Linked DNA regions of Astyanax mexicanus. The protein of the gene in region 1 interacts with the protein of each later gene in a biochemical or structural test. Links are inferred from orthologs where the notes say so. Each region holds a gene or a part of one and is shown in the gene's direction. Other genes may lie near its edges.

Region 1 (8,309 bases):
GTTAAAACAAATACAGGAGTGCAGTTCTCCTGATTCAATAAAATTGAATATATAGTTATATATTATATAGTTTAGTATATAGTTTATATATACAGCTACGGAGAACTACTTCAAAATTATCCGTTTCTATGATTTTACTATTTACAGGTTTATGTTTGAGTAAAATCAACAACTACAGACAACATTTCTCCCAAATTCCAAATAAAAATATTGCTATTTAGAGCATTTATTCGCAGAAAATCAGAAATAGTCCAAAAAGAAAAAAGATGCAGAGCTTGCAGACCTCAAATAATGCACAAAAAAAAAGTTCATATTTATAAAATTTTAAGAGTTCAGAAATCAATATTTGGTGGAATAACCCTGATTTTTAATCATGGCTTTCATGCATCTTGGCAACATGTTCTCCTCCACCAGTCTTACACACTGCTTTTGGGTAACTTTATGCCTTTACTCCTGGTGGTCGTCCACCTCCTTTTGATTATATTTAGAGGTTTTGAATGGGGTTCGGATCTGAAGATTGACCGTCAACTTATTTGAATCAGTCAGCAACAGCAGGATGACGTCAAGTGACCTACAAAAAGAATGGCAACAAAAATATTGTTGGTAGTATATAGAATTGAACAACTATATTCATTTTACTCAAACATACAGTATACCAATAAATAGACATTTAGAATAATTGATCATTTTATATAGTCTCTTTATGTTTTTTCTGGAGCTGTATATAAAGAGATTTATTTTAATGTTTTTTTATATTTTAGATTTTTGTTCCACACACACATTAACACATAAAGGCATAAACTAAACTGTATTCAGAAAGTGTCCCAAGACTACTTTTCAGCTCTGTGTGAAACAAATGAAAGCTCTGTGTACTGTGAAAGATAAATCATCATATAAGCTTAATTAAATTTATGTCACATTTCCAATTAGTCAAATGGAGCAGAGTCAAGATTTATAGACTTTTGCTATTAAAAGTGAATATAAATAAAAAAATTCTTCTTGTTTTTCTTGAGTGTGTCATCCTTCCACAATTCCACAAGTCTGATCATTCTTTATATGATGGATAGAGTGAATAAATCAGTCTGGAAATGTTCGATCTTTCTTCTTTCTTCTTCTTTTCTATTCTCTAAGGTCTCCCGGAGACGGTGGCTCTGTACTTCGTGTCGGGAATCTGCGCCGGCCTGGTGTTCCTGCTGTGTCTGTTCGGGCTGAAGTCCACTCTGGTGCGGGACGTGAAGGACCTGGTGTCTGAGCTGGAGGACGAGCTGAAGGCCGCCCGCAGGTCCCGCAGGGGACTGATCGAGGACTTTGATGACGATTATTCTTCTCTGGACTCCGGCTTTCGTCACCTCACTCGCTCCTACCGCGCCGCAGACATGCTCAGTCCAGAGATGGTCATGACTGTGGTGATGGAGGACAAAAGGACGGAGGAGGACAGGGACAGAGCAGAACTGCCGAACGGAGACCTCTGGCCGCACTGTAACTCCAGCCCTTACGCCTTCCACAAAACCACGGCTTCTTCTACCTGAGACTCAAATCTGAACAAAAAGCAACTTTACTAACAACAGACTAAATCTAATTATCTTATTCCTGCATTAATGAAGCAATGGAACAAACCTGAGTGAAGCCAAATGTCACAAACATTATGGTGCTCTGAAATGAATTAAAAAATGTAAAAAAAAGTGTAGGTCCATTCCACTGAACGGGTGCCATTTCTAGTTGTAACTCTTCCAAATTAAACTTTTTTTAAAAATATATATATATATATAATTTTCAACTCTAAATTGAATAATGCGTATTAAACTATTCAAAACATGTATTGGTCAAACTCAGGCAGCTTTACTTAAGTTTTACACGGTTTCTAATCTGAAGATAGTTACAAAACTCCTGTGACATATAAAAAGCTTGTTTACATTAGAAAAAAACACTTATTCCTTGAATTTTTCTTTAATGTCTTTATGTTAAAGAAATAGTTGCATGTTCAAATTATTGATATTTATGACAAAAGAATCATTCCTGGTAATGGCACTCATTTCTGTTACTGGCACTCACTTCTGTTACTGGCACTCACTCCTGTTACTGTCACTTAGTCCTGTTACTTTGTATGTTTTGAGTAACAGGAATGATTTTTTGGATAGAATTTGCAAAACCATGAAAAATATCTAAATGGGAATCTTTTCCCAGGTGCAGGGTAGGTTAGCTAGTCTGGCATTGTTAATACAACAAATAACGTTATTAGATGTTTGTGTTTCGTTTTTGTATGATTTACTGACACCAGAAGTTAGCAATGGACTTCCCTCTGTACTAATTATGGTAAGGTTGACTTGTATAATACTGAGAAGTAGTACTGGGATGCCCCAGTTATTATTGTTTTGTTAAATTATTTATTGAAGACTAGACTATTAGACTTTCACCACCATTCTGAATTCTATATTTCTTTAAGCCTAATGTTGAGCTGAAACAGAAATTAAAGTAACAGGAAATAGTTTATAGCATAGAATTTGCAAAAACATGAAAAATAGCTAAATAGTGGCTATGCTAATAGCACGAGGGAATTGAGCACATTCTAGTGATTTTCCAAAAATGTGTATTTTAAGAATAAACAAATAAAATCTAAAAATTAATTTAGGTAACAGGACTGAGTGTTGAGATTGAACTCTCAGTTATCGTTACAATAAGATCAAATATACAGAAAAACTAATGAGTGAAATTAATTTTGGTCTTCCTGTGATCTTCAGAAAAAACAGCTGATGTCACTTCCTGTTGTAGAATGTTCCAGACTCAGGACTGAGTGAAACCCAGAGACACAACTACTCTAAAATGTGTATTTTAACTTAAACATTATGAATTCATTATGAAAAAAAAAAAACATTTTAAAGCATAGGTGGGATTTGGATTCACACAACAATGCAAAAAAAAAAAACATCTCTGAGGGATTTTAATAATTATATTTCATGGTAAAGTTTATAGTTAGAGAGTGGGGACAGGTAACAAATGCTTTTTTTTCAGTGTTCTAAGTAGTTTTTATTAATGTTTTTAATTTCACATTTTACTTTTGCAATTAGGTCAATGTACAAGACGCTATTTTTAATAATAAAATGTATTTTAAAGCTATTTCGGGCGCACATTTATATATGTAATTTCCTAAGGACAGAAATGGCACCGATTCTGTGGAATGGCCCTGTAATTTAAACACAGTAAATAATAAGTAATGTATGCAAAATTATACTCTTAAATAAAAAAAAAATTGAATGTATATTTAATCATGTCTAATTAGTCAGATTTTTTTCAATGGAGCAGAGGAAAATGCCTTTATAACAAATATTATGGAGGTCAGTATATATATACTCATTAATATAAGGAGTTTCTCACATAAAGACAATTTGCTATGGTGTAATTGTATGCTATGGTTTTACTTTAACATTAATCTACAATACTCAACAAAAGCTACATGGTTATGCAATGTTCCATCAATTCAGCATCAATTCAAAAGTTTTTCTTATTATACAGGTTTTATTTCTAAGAGATGAAAGTCTAATGCGTTTCTTGTAATGTTTTTTTGTAAAATGTACAGACATAATAAATACATTTAAAACATGTAATATATGGCAGTATGTTTTTGTCAGAATATTTTGTGGTGTGTTTTGCAGACAGATTAATTTGCTTATTCTAAAATTGATCATATGATTTGTGTTTGGCCAGCAGAGGGAGGCTTCTCCATTTAACACAGACTGAACACTGTTCTATAGTAAACTGTACAGAACTGAAACTGAAACTTTTATTTGTCTATATATTTATAATCATAAAAAACATATAGGCGTGGTCTGAACTTGTTTGTACATCATTGAAAGTCATCATTAAATGGTTTCTATCTATCATTTATAAAGGCAGCATTTTAATCAGCTGACTAATATTTTAATTTTATTTATTGAATCATGGTCATTTGTTTTGTTACAGTGTGACAGTAATAACTGTCATTAATGATTCAAACTGTGAATCATTTCCATTTTTGCTGCAGTTTTTAGATGATCTTATCTTATATTTTTGCTACTGTTGTTTGAAAGAACCTGCTTACTAAGAATTTCTTACTGTCACAAGTTTATTACACCTTTGAATTACACTAAAATAATGGTAGTGGGGTGTGGGGGCTATTTTTAAGGTGAAAAGGAGATAATGAAGTTGTGGGGACGAATCCCCACCACTTAATTATCTGGTTCCCACACCTTAATAAGTCACCCCATGATTTAATTGTGGGGACAAGATAATTAAATTATGGCGACAACATATATGGTCAGGACTTAATGATCTCCTTCCCACGCCTTAATAAGTTCATCCATTTAATCAAGCCATTGAATGAGATAAATAATTTGGGACTTATTTAGATGGGTTAATAATTAATAATAATCTTGGGGATGACTTAAGGCATAAGGCATAGGAACGAGACAATTAAGTTTCCCCACACTTTAATAAGTCATCCCCACCACTTAATATTCTTGTTCCTACACCTTTATAAGTGACCACACGACTTAATTATGGGGGCAAGATCATTAAGTTGGGGGTTATTAAGGCAAAGTCGTGGGGATGACTCATTAAGGCGTGGGAACGAGATAATTAAGTTGCAGGATTATTTGGCCAGGATCTAATTATCTCATTCCCACACTTTTATAAGTTGTTCCCACACCTTAATAAATCATTCCCACCACTTAATTGAGGGAATGAGATAATAAGTCATGGGGCAACGTATTAAGTCAAGGGGATTACTTATTAGGTCGTTGGCCATATAAGTGGTCCCCACGACTAAATTATCCAGTTCCTATACGTTGATAAGCCATCCCCACAGCTTAATTATCTTGATGCCACACCTTAATAAGTTGTGGCCACGCATTATTAAGGCGTGGGAATTAGATAATTAAGTTCTGGCCATATAAGCCGTCCCCACAACTTAATGTCGTTTCCACGCCGTAATAATTCGTGGCCACGCATTGTTATTATTACTATTTTTATTTCTTTTTATTTTAATGTGACCTTAAGGGCTCAGTATGCGCACATTCTGCGCAGTGTGGTGTGTCCAGACGCTCCGCCCGCTTGGCCCTGCGGTTTTCTCACGCTGATGTGGAGCAGCGATGCTAAAGCTAAAGCTAATGCTAACGCTAACTAACATGCAGCGCTGAGGCTGCGGACAGCTGGCGGGGCGGCGGCGCGGACAGTCCGGCGCTGAGAGAGCCTGAGGACCGGGGCTACCGCTGTCCGGCTGGAGGGTTCTGGGGACGGTTCGGCTTGTTAAGCGGCGGTTTGAGAGTCGGGGTGAAGTCGTTAGTGTGTCTGTTTTTATACTAAAGCTGCGGGGAGTCGGTTCTCCGGTCTCTGAACTCGCGGGGGAACAGTTTTTTTATCGGGTTGACACGAAATTAGCTGAATTAACAACTAATCTTTGTGGTTTATTGAGGAGATTTGGGGAAGGAGAGGGTCGTGGCCCGGTGAGTTAGTTAGTTAGCATAGCTAGTTAGGCTAGCTAGCTCCGCGTACAGCGTCTAACAGCGTCTCGCTGAGCCGGTATCTCGGGCTGAAGGCCGGCCGACACGGGTGAACATTCTGGGGCGGGGACTGGAGGACTAACCGGAGGAATAACCGGAGGACTGGAGGAAAAACAGTGGGAGGAAAAGCTGCAGCTGCAGCAGCACAGCCTGCTAACCTGACCGGAGAAACAGGAGATTAATGGAGTAAAGCGAACTAAGTGACAACAGAGCTAAAGTATGGATTCTTCTCTGGATCTCTGCGAGGAGAAATGTCTGACTGTATCCTTTAAAATGGTTTAATTTCGGTTTAAAAAAAAGCTCTGACTCTGCTTACTGAGGCTAGTGTAGCTAACAAGCTGCATATAGATTTATAAACAATCCAACTAGCTAGCTAACAAGTTGGTTAAGTTAGTTAATTATGTAGGTTTAGGTTATTTTAACTGAATAGATCAATTTAGATCTGTTCAGTTATCTAGTTAGTTATCACGTCCTAGTTTTATCTATCTATCTATCTATCTATCTATCTATCTATCTATCTATCTATCTATCTATCTATCTATCTATCTATCTATCTATCTAGCCTATTATTGTTTAGCCATATGACAAAAACATTAAATAAAAATAATAACGTATATAAAGAATGCACTACTGCAACAAAATGAATATTTAAATGTATTATTGCATACAATATGATACAGCACACCCCTAACTGAGATATTTAAAAAAAAATACGAGTTTTATCAGATTTGCAACAGAAGTCAATGATCCAGAATGTCATGATACTAGTAATGCACTTCTCCAAATATCTCCATATATCCAGGATAAACACTACTGCACAGATATGATCTTTAGTACTCTCTAGTAGATATATAATGGGAAATGAGAACAGTGTGAATTTTATGTTTGCTAAGAACAGCAAACAAATAGTACCCTGATGTGATAAATAGGGGTGGGTGATATGGCACAGTATTTCAGGGTATAATATCGTTCACGATATTCAAAAATGTTGGTGATATTATTGCGTATGATGCGATATGGCACACCCTAAGTTTAGAGTACTAAGAAATACCAAGAGAGTGAAGTTAAAATGCTTTTATTATCATTACATCTGAAGACAGGTGCAAAATTATGTTCATCAGGAACCATGATGCAACATGGAACAACAATACAATAGACAACATCAGCTTCATCTCTCTGTGAGTTGAGGAGTCTGAATGCCTGGTGAAAGAAGCTGTTGCAACTCTGCTTGTTCACATTGCAGAGAACCTCACCTGGTCCCTCAACACCAGCTCCAAAACCAAGAAAGCCCAGTAGCGCCTCTACTTCCTATACTAAAGAGAGCATCTTGAGTGTCTGCGTTAATGTCTGGTTTGGGAACTGTAACATCTCGGATCACGAGACCCTACAGCGGATAGTGAAGACAGCTGAGAAGATCATTGGAGTCTCACTCCCCTCCATCACTGACATCTACACCACACGCTGCATCCGCAAAGCCTTCAGCATTGTGAATTTTCGCTCTGAAGATAACAGACCGTCCGAGCCTCCACCACTAGACTCTGGAACAGTTTCTTCCACCAGGCAGTCAGACTCTTCAACATACAGAGACACATACCAGCTCAGTCAATCCGAAACATTTCTTTTTTTTTTTGTGACCAATTTTTTTATTAGAATCCGAAACATTTTAAGATCTTTAAAAGTCTACTCGAGTGCAGTTATGATTGAACTGGCTCTCATCAGGGCCACCCCATGAAAGGAAGTGCAAGAATTAAGAGAGATAGTTCATCAGTGTTTCCAGCGCCAGAAATCGCAAGTTAACAGCACCCTGGATAAGAGCATCTAAAGTAGTTTAGTATTTATTTATTTATTTATTTATTTATTTTTTTAACACTTTTAAGTTACTACATGATTCCGTACGTGTTCCTTCATAGTCTGAATGACTTCAGTATCCAGTTGACACTGGCCCCACTACTTTAAAATACATTGATTTAATCCAATTTGTATGTATTTTTATTCATTTTAAAGTTAGAAAGTTTTACTGTGATGCCTAGTCTCTATGTAAGTTATAAATATGTAAAATTTTGGAAATGGGCCAAAAATATATTTTATATCAGTGGCCTAAAGTGTTTTTAAACTGTATAATAACATTGTTAATTACGTTAATTTCTACTGCAGAAATAAACAAACTAAGATGTATTATAAAAACAGACCTATTTCCAGTGTAATATTCCTTTAGGACCAGTCTAACCCTACTAGAGGAGCACTGATGATCAGTCAGGTGTTAAACATATCAGCTTTTCTGTAAATCTCCCCTCTACATTTTTCCTTTTATCTTCCACCGCATGCCTTTGACTCCTTAATTGCAATGCTTAGACGGTGAGGGGGCATGAGCTGAGGGCTGGCCAGCGAGAACCAAGACTCCTCTCGTTACTGGAGCGCTCGGGACAGTTTACGTGAGTATCTATCTGATTTAAATTGTCTTTCATTTTTCTTTCTCCTGATATTAAATGCAAAAAATCTCCAGCTCTGTGTAGAAACCTTTTATTGTGTATTATATGAGCAGCTATGAGTTTTTTTGTACATTTCTGTACAATTTGTATCTGTTTTGCTTGTGCGTGTTGTGTTGTGTTCTGTTCTGTATATTAATACTATTAAGCAGTCTGATAAGCATATTTTCTTTAGATTTGCTTTTAAAGTTCCCTATTTATGTATATAGCTATTTCTAAGTGGCTTATTACTTTCACACACTCTATTTTGGCCTTAAAACAAGTTTATCTCAAGCTGTGAAGGTTTTGC
Region 2 (8,586 bases), on another chromosome or scaffold:
CTATCTTCGTTAGGCAGGTACGCTGTGTGCGCTCAAAGCCCGTACACTCCTGCAGCTGTGCACAAACCAAACTTTTACATCAATAATAAACAGAATACTAAATAAAATAACATTGCTGTTCCCATAAATGACCTGCTCGCACACCTTCACAACGTGAGGTCAGCAGGTCAGTTTCCTCTGCGGAAAAAAAAGTGCAGAAGCACTGCACTGTTTAAATAGCAATCCGCCAAAGTCAGAGCAAACCTGACTCTACAAGGAAATGGTAACTGACACATTGATTGGTTTATTTCAGGTTACATTCAAAACACACCCATGATTAATCACTTTTAGATCACTAAAATAGGGCTCATAATGTCATCAGTGGTTTGGACCTTCTTGACTATATGACCCTCCTCCTGTTGTGGCATTACCAACTTATCAGCTTAATTGGCTTAATGTTAAAAGGCCAGATTATCTTTAGGCCACTAGTAAAAATATAATGCATAATTTACAGGCATTTTCACACAGACAAAGTGCATTTTTTTATGCAGGTGAAATGTTTGAGAAACAGTTCTGATTTACAAACATGACCTGGCCGAGAGGCCCCAACAGATAAAGGTCTGACACATAAAAAACATGTAAACAAATTAAGAATAAAACAAAATTACAGATTAACATAAACAATCATATGCATTTTAAACTGTTTAAAAGGCAGGAGTAAAAATAGAAAAAAAATGTGGATGGATGGAGTGTATCAGTAGCAGAAGATTTTAAATGCTTGAGTTGAAATACTATCCCATACTTGAAACTTATACTATTTTCAGGACAAATTCAGGGTGAATTGTAATGAAGCATTTCCGCTACAAATGTATAGCTTTATTTACTCTTGCATGAGCTGCGTATCACTTTAACTTTTTCCTCCACCTGCTTTCTTCTCTGATCTCTGACTCTCTCCTTAATTTCCTTTTCTCTCTTTATTCCCGGTCTTCCTCCTACTTCTGCTGCTGCTGCACCTCTTTCCTCTGCTGACCTTCTGATCTCCAGATGAACTGTACGCTCAAAAGCTGAGGGTGAAGGCCATTACTGAGGAGCTGGATCTCGCCCTAAATGACATGACCTCCATGTAGATGAACCTCCCTCACTATCTCTTTTATCACCACTGCCGGTGGAAGATATAAGTGCCTTATAAACCCCCCCTTATCTATTTTTTCCACTATAAAATATGCATAGCGAAGATGCAGGTGCTGCTGAAGCATTAAGAAGTGAGGCTGGCGACCCAGTTCACATCTTACTGTGCCTCTGTTCTTCTGTTCCTCATCTTTTCCTCCTCCTGATTTCTTTTTCTGTGCCTGAAATCTGCTACCTTTATGTTCCGGCTTAAATGATAAAGTTTTAATAAAGTTATTATTAGTAAATCTAATGATCCATGCGCTTTTCCGTTTATTTTAATCAGTTTTCTATCTCTTTATTTTTTCCTTTCCTACACTTTTACACTCACATTTCAAAAGTCATGATATAGCAATATACAAATTTATCATTTATCAAGTGATACATCAAGGGATGGGTTGGAAATTCCTATACCTGTATAAGTTGTGAGGTGTTATTTCGTGTGTGATGCTGGATTATGGGAGTTTGAAATTGATAGTGGATGCAAGGTGGATGGGAAATTCCATTTCCACACTCCAGTCATGCAGGTATTTAACATTCTTTGACCCACAGTGCTTTTGGTCACTGTCTGGAAAGAGCCTTTCCTTTCCACCCACCTCCAAAAAACACACATGGTAGGTAAATTGGACATGCTAAATCACCCCCAGATGTGTGTTACCCTGTCATGGACTGGCACTCTGTCCAGAGGGTATTTCCTCCTTGTACTCACTGATTCCAGACCACCATGATCCTGAACGATGGACGCCACTGAGCAACATACACAGCAAATCTGCCAGTGTTAGATTTACACTATTAATGTTAATTTAACACAAAAATAAAGGTTGCTCACAGTGTTAATTTAACACTAACAGTGTTTATATAACACTGGGGCTTCCCTAAAATGTAAAAAAGGATCAAATTCCATCACAGCCTTAGAATATTGCTAATAAATATAGAATACTGTGAACAAATATAAAGAAAAAAACAACAACCACAGCCTACTGTTAATGAACATGAATTCTGTTCTATAATAATATAAAATGTGTGTATTACACTTATTACAAATAAAAAATTACAGCATGTTTAGTCCAGTACATTAAATTTCAATAAACTCATGTTTTCTTCAAAAGCTAATGCAACATAAAGTAAGATATTATAATATCACAAGTGTGGAGATCTATTATCTGAGGAGGCATAATACGGTTTATGAAACATAAAACAAACATAAAAAATCAGCATAGTCACACAAAAACCCTGTTTCTCCAAATTGGCTATTTTCAAAAAAGAAGAATGAAAAAACTACTTAGTTTTTAATTGTAGTCAATATAAAAAGATTTTATTTCAAGTAATTTTACAGCATTTCTATTGGGGCTGTTTATCATTGCTTAGTTAGTGCTTATTACATATTATGCTGACATTGATAAATACATACCTAGATACACTATATCGCCAAAAATACAGTCGAGAAATTTCCTTAATAATAAATATTCCACAGACAACTGTCAGTGATATTATAACACAGTGGAAGAGGCTGGGAACGACAGCAACTCTCTCTGTCAGTGTAAAATAAAGTGATTCTGACTAACATAGTGCACAAGGGTCACCAACTTTCTGCAGTCAATCATAACACACCTCCAAACTTCATGTGGCCTTCAAGTGAAAGCAGATACTTTTGGCAATATAGTGTATATACTAAATACATAAATATTTCAAATATCTTTATCCGCCTGAATGTCTCAGTGTATCACTGCTTCCCTAAACAAACATATCAACAATAAAAGCCAAAGTTTAGCACTGAAAAAGCCTTTAAACATATGTGACTGTTTGTTGCAGAGAGCATAGCCAACTCAAAGCAGGAGAATCTGAATCTGCACCAAGTCCTGGACCAAACCCTGCAGGAGCTTAACAGCTTGTGAGCATCACAAAGAGGAGACATACCGACAGCAATCAACATTCCACACTTCTCATCAAGCATTCCTGTGTGTGTGTGTGTGTGTGTGTGTGTGTGTGTGTGTGTGTTTGTGTGTGTGTGGTTAAATTGTATTGTTATCTTATATTGTCTGAGTCATGTTCTCTATTTTGGCTCCACACCCTCTCACACATTCTCCCTCACTGCCAAATAGAGGACTTACTTTTATTTTAGAAAGTTGTGACTTTTCATTGAACGCCTGGAAAAGATCTGAATGATGTCACCATCCACATCTGGGAACATTTTCCATATTTGTATCTGTTCCACTTTTCCGTTTTTTATTTATTTCTGCAAAATGTGTCTTAAATAAGCACAAACATTATTTTTCATGTTTTTTTTGTCTCAACACTCTCATATCGATCTTAAATTGACTGTCAAGTAAGGTTTATGATATATCATGTGGATTTAATTAACATATTTACAATAAAATGTCAAGTATGCAGCTTAGTTTAACACTAATTTTTTTTGTCACCTCTTTTTTCCCTTGCACATATAAAAGTCTTTCCAGAATTGTTTGCCAAAACTGATTTTTTTTTTAAACAATAATAAATTTTACACAATTTTGCACAAAACTGTGTGTTTTTACTGAGTGCTATCAGAAGGTAGCCAATGATTTCAGCTTGTGGTTTGTACAGTGCAGAATGTTTTAACGGAATGACAGTTCAAGGGAACTGTGGTGGTCAAAATGAGCTCTAGAAAACAAACAAATTCTGAGGCTATGTCCACACACATTTACATTTTTTTTTTTATAAAAAAACATTTCCCTGTTAGTATCAACACACATTAAAGAAAAATTAAAACATATGTTTCCTTCAAAATTATACACTACTCCCAAAGTACTGTACAGTGCAAGTCACATTACCTAGTAATAAAAAAACTGTATTTATACTTACTCATATGTCAAAATCTGACTTTTTTTGCTATGAGCATGCAGACATTGTTTTTTATGGAGTAGTTTAGGTATTTGAGATTGAGCCAGAATGCATGAGCATGCATTGTGACGTCAGTATTTCAATTCCAAAAGAGTCATAAGAAGGAAACCCTACCAGCTACATCCAGAGAAGCCAAATATGTTTCTGAAACCAATGCTTTGGACTTTTTTGGGGGCTTGAGTAGCTACCAGTGGCCACTGTGTGTGAAAATCATGTCATGAAATACAGTAACAGTAATGGAATGGAAATGGAATGTTCCATCAACATACTTTTACTTTCAAGTTTGTGACATTTGGAGAAAATTCTGTTTTTATCTGACAGGTACAGTATGTCACTTTCTCCAGTGAAACCAGGCAATTTTTTTTTATATCCAGGGATCCATTTGGACATCCCCTGGTACACACATGCATTAGCGTGTACTATTTTTTGCTTTCGATACAAATAAAAAAACATTTATTTGGTGGTATACCACCTTGGTACCACAGTTTGAGAACCACTGCCTAAATGCATCTTTTAAAAAGTTCCCCTTTTATGAATCATCCTTACAATGAAGTTGAGCAGCAGTCACAGCATGTGTGAAGAAGACCTAACCTAACATGAAGTAGGTCCCTGCCAGTCTAGTTCCTCTTATCTAGATTGGCTAAAGAAGTACTGTCAATAGATTAGGACTCCCTGGAGCAGACACAATATCATTTTGCAGCAGGACTTGGCACACTGCCCACACTGACTTTTGGGTTTTTATAGGCTGTAAGCCATAAAATAAATAAATGCTTAAAATAGATTTTTCTGTGTGTAATACATCTTAATATTATATGAGTTTCATATTTTAAACTGAATTACTGAAATAAAGTAACTTTTCAATGATTTTATCAATTTTTGAGATGCACTAGTGTATCCTGTGGATGACTTTTGGGTGGTTCTTTGAATTTTAGTCTGATTGTGGGTGGTACATGGTATAAGATGTGTTCGAGAACCAATGTATTGAGGTATTTTAAGTGGCTATCTATTAGCAGAAAGAGTGTGTGTGTGTGTGTGTGTAAATGTGTGTGTTAAAGTGTGTATGTGTGAGTGTGTGTATGGAGTGAGAAGGGGGCGGGTGTGTGCTCATTACCGCCGTGTGTCTACGCGGCGCTCAGTTACCGGGCGGGATTTCCGCAATATCAAGTATGGCGAAGACTTACGATTATTTGTTTAAACTACTGTTAATCGGGGACTCGGGAGTTGGGAAGACCTGCGTGCTGTTCAGATTCTCAGAGGATGCCTTTAACTCAACGTTTATCTCCACGATAGGTACATTTATTCCAGTTGTTTTTGTCCAGGAAGCTCCAATGACAGGCTGACAGGATCTGCGTTAGCTTTAGCAGCTAGCTACACTTTCTTTCGCTTTGCCGGTAACGTTAGCAAACGCTAGCTAGGTTAAATATCTCTCTATCTGCTCTGTTTTTTAATTCTTCGTCTGTATTTTATCTGTTTTAACCCTTTTATATCTTATTTTTAGCTTTGTCAAAGTGTCAGCTTGGTTTAATTTCAATAAACGACTCTTATTACAGCCTAGTATACACACGGGATATTCAGAGTAGAAGAGGCTGTTCTAATTTCTCAGTTCCACCTTAAAAAGCGCAGCAGTTTAGCGGTTACATTGGGAGGCGCCTGCTCGGACGTTTGAACGTGTGCTGCGCGATTTTAAGGTGGAATTAAATTCGAACGGGAAGCTGCGTGGCTTCGTGATGGTAGCCTGTTAGCATTAGCTAGCGTTAGTTAACCTAGCTATCTGATTTACAAATTAAAAGCTAGCTAGCTAACGTAACGTAGTGTGATTATGGATCAATATTTCATCTATACATAAAATGAGTAACGTTAAATTTAACCACATAATTGGAGGAAAATGCCGCATTAGCAGGCTGGTTAGCAACACGACCTGCTAGCCTAGCTATCTTGTTAGCTAGCTAACCTAGTTATTCACCATCAAGCTTGCTAGTCTTTACGTTAGCTAAGCTAAGCTAAGCTAACCAGCTAGCTAGAGCAGTGGCTGTGAGTAAGCAGTATGTGGTTAGCTAGCTATGCTAACTAGGTTAGATAAGCTGTTAGTCATTTAATATAACTTAGTGGTTAACAAACCTCTATGCCAAAGGCGTTCCTGTAAAATTACGCAGTTAAACTCCGTGTTTGTCGTTCAACAGTCTGTTTACAGCTGTGTATTGATTGTTACTGGTGTTGATCTGTGTCTAAACAGACTAAACTTAACTCCTACAGTATCAACAAGTACTATTTAAAGGTTATTTAGTTTAATAAATCGTTCCTTCAAATTAATACATTGTTTTCAGTTTACACTAAGGCGCCCCCTCTAAACTGTAGATAGCTAGGGAACAATTTATTAATCTATGTTGAGAGAAAAATAAATTAAATTTGGCGAATGGATGGCAAACTGAGGAAACATTTGATTAAATTGGAAGAATGTATGGTAAAATGAGGGAACATTTTATTAAATTGGGACAACGGATAGTAAACTAATTGAACAATTTATTAAATTGGAAGAATGGATGATACAATGGGGGGACAAATTATTCAGTAGGTAGAATGGATAGTAATCAGAGGGAACATTTTTTAACGTACATTGAGGGAACAATTTATTTAATTGGAAGAATGGATGGTAAACTGAGAAAATAATTTATTAACCAACATTGAGGGAATGATTTCTTAAATTGGGAGTATAGATGGTACACTGAGGAAAGAATGTATTAAATTGAGAGGGTGGATAGTAAACTGAGAGAACAATTTATTAACCTACATTGAGGGAATAAGTTATTAAATTGGGAGAATGGATGGTAAAATCCGGGAACAATTTATTAACCTACATTTAGGGAACCATGTATTAAACTGGGAGAATGGATGGTAAACTGAGGGAACAATTTATTAAATTGGGAGAATAGGTGGTAAATCGAGGGGGGAATTATTTAATTCAGAAAACATTTCTTGTCTTATACTAATTGAGGCACAAAGATAATATTAGTTTTCATTTTGGGGAATGCTTAATAATTAAATTGTGGAAACATAAATTGTGGGAACAATTTATTAAATAGTGAGAATGGCTTGTTTAACTTGGTTTAAATTCAGCTAAGGGAATGGTTTATTACAACAGTGGCTTGTTAAACTGAGCTAACAGTGTATTCTAATTTATTCAAAGTATGTATTAACCCTTATTATTATCATTATTATGTATTAAGTAAGTCTGTATTAACCCTTGTAGTGTTACAGCATATCAGTATTTTGGTTTGTTGTTCATAACAAATATTTATATGTTAACATGTTCTATATTTTTCATTAATATAACGTTTGGCAATTATGCTTTTGTCTGGTCTGCAGTCTGTGTAGATGTCTTGAACACACATAGTCAGCCACTGTCTCATTATGGTCAACCAGAGAGGAAGTAAATGTCTGCCTAATGCTTACATTAACCATTTTGCTCAGTCATTTATACTTGCTGAAGAAACTAGAGCAAATTAGAAACTCTATATTTACTCTCAAGTGATGCCTGCTGTGTTTACCTTCTTACAGGTATTGACTTCAAGATAAGGACGATAGAGTTAGATGGAAAGAAGATCAAGTTACAGATATGGTATGTTGCTGAACCTTTGTTTCACAAGCTTTTTGTCGTACTTTCCTTTGTCTAGTGAAAGTGGTGTTTGTGGAAAAGCATTTAAACAAAACAAAAGTGCCAAGAGCTTCAGCTAATCTTCACTGAACGTGTAATGGAATGCCTACCTAATTCCCAACCATTTTCCATAATAAACGTAACCAGAACTACCAGAAGGTAGATTCTTGTAATTCTTGTAGATTCTTGGGCAGTGCAAGATGATTTGTTATTGTGAAAAATGATCACAGCAAGTTTTATTACAAAGAAAGCATGACTAGTTTATGGAGATGCCTCAGTAGTGCAGTTCAAGTTACCTCAACTAACGTTACTATCCTAGGCCTGGACGGCTCATATCTTTCAGCTGGAAAACAGCAGGTTTGTGAATATAGTAACAGTTGTAAAGGTAGTAAATTGAGAACGTGATAAATTATGCTTAATGATTCATTTCTAAATCGTAATTTAAGCAAGTAGAGTGTAAATATTAACTCACAGCATTTTTCTAGTTGACATTGTTTAGTGTAGCAATCATATTTAAGCCATAGAAGCCTCTCCTGGTTTGTTATAACATTTTTATTTGGGTTTTGTAGGGACACGGCAGGACAGGAACGGTTCCGAACAATCACAACGGCATATTACAGAGGGGCGATGGTGAGTTATTGATGTATTGCAAATAAGGGTATGCCATATCATTTTATGTAGTAGTGATATTTTGTCTTGAAAGCAGTCTATTTTGTATTTGTTTTGCGATATGTGTGGAGCTTCAATTTATCTTTGTGTTCAATTGTATCTGTTTGCAGTTAATATGCATGCATTAATATTCTGGCTTCATTTTTGTTTGTTACACAATTAATTTTGTTTTATTATTATTCTTCATCTTGTCTTTTCAATTTTACATTACTGTTTCTACTGAATGTTAAAAACTGTTA

The links. The genes of interacting proteins can lie anywhere in the genome.
Region 2: the proteins of ocrl (region 1) and rab8a form a complex in vitro, tested with the Homo sapiens proteins (2 studies listed by BioGRID and IntAct, with this or other methods). The link is inferred for Astyanax mexicanus from reciprocal best matches to the Homo sapiens genes OCRL and RAB8A.

The regions. Positions count from the first base shown.
Region 1 is NC_064417.1:49,199,403-49,207,711, reverse strand, and holds the start of ocrl (inositol polyphosphate 5-phosphatase OCRL), read left to right. Parts: upstream 1-5,114; 5' UTR 5,115-5,753; coding exon 5,754-5,795; intron 5,796-7,886; coding exon 7,887-7,966; intron 7,967-8,309. Other genes in the region: si:ch73-335m24.2 (protein eva-1 homolog C), read left to right, coding at 1,132-1,529. UniProt on the Homo sapiens protein: Catalyzes the hydrolysis of the 5-position phosphate of phosphatidylinositol 4,5-bisphosphate (PtdIns(4,5)P2) and phosphatidylinositol-3,4,5-bisphosphate (PtdIns(3,4,5)P3), with the greatest catalytic activity towards PtdIns(4,5)P2.
Region 2 is NC_064411.1:48,023,532-48,032,117, reverse strand, and holds the start of rab8a (ras-related protein Rab-8A), read left to right. Parts: upstream 1-5,126; 5' UTR 5,127-5,192; coding exon 5,193-5,316; intron 5,317-7,581; coding exon 7,582-7,642; intron 7,643-8,247; coding exon 8,248-8,308; intron 8,309-8,586. Other genes in the region: tpm4b (tropomyosin 4b), read left to right, coding at 1,024-1,106. UniProt on the Homo sapiens protein: The small GTPases Rab are key regulators of intracellular membrane trafficking, from the formation of transport vesicles to their fusion with membranes.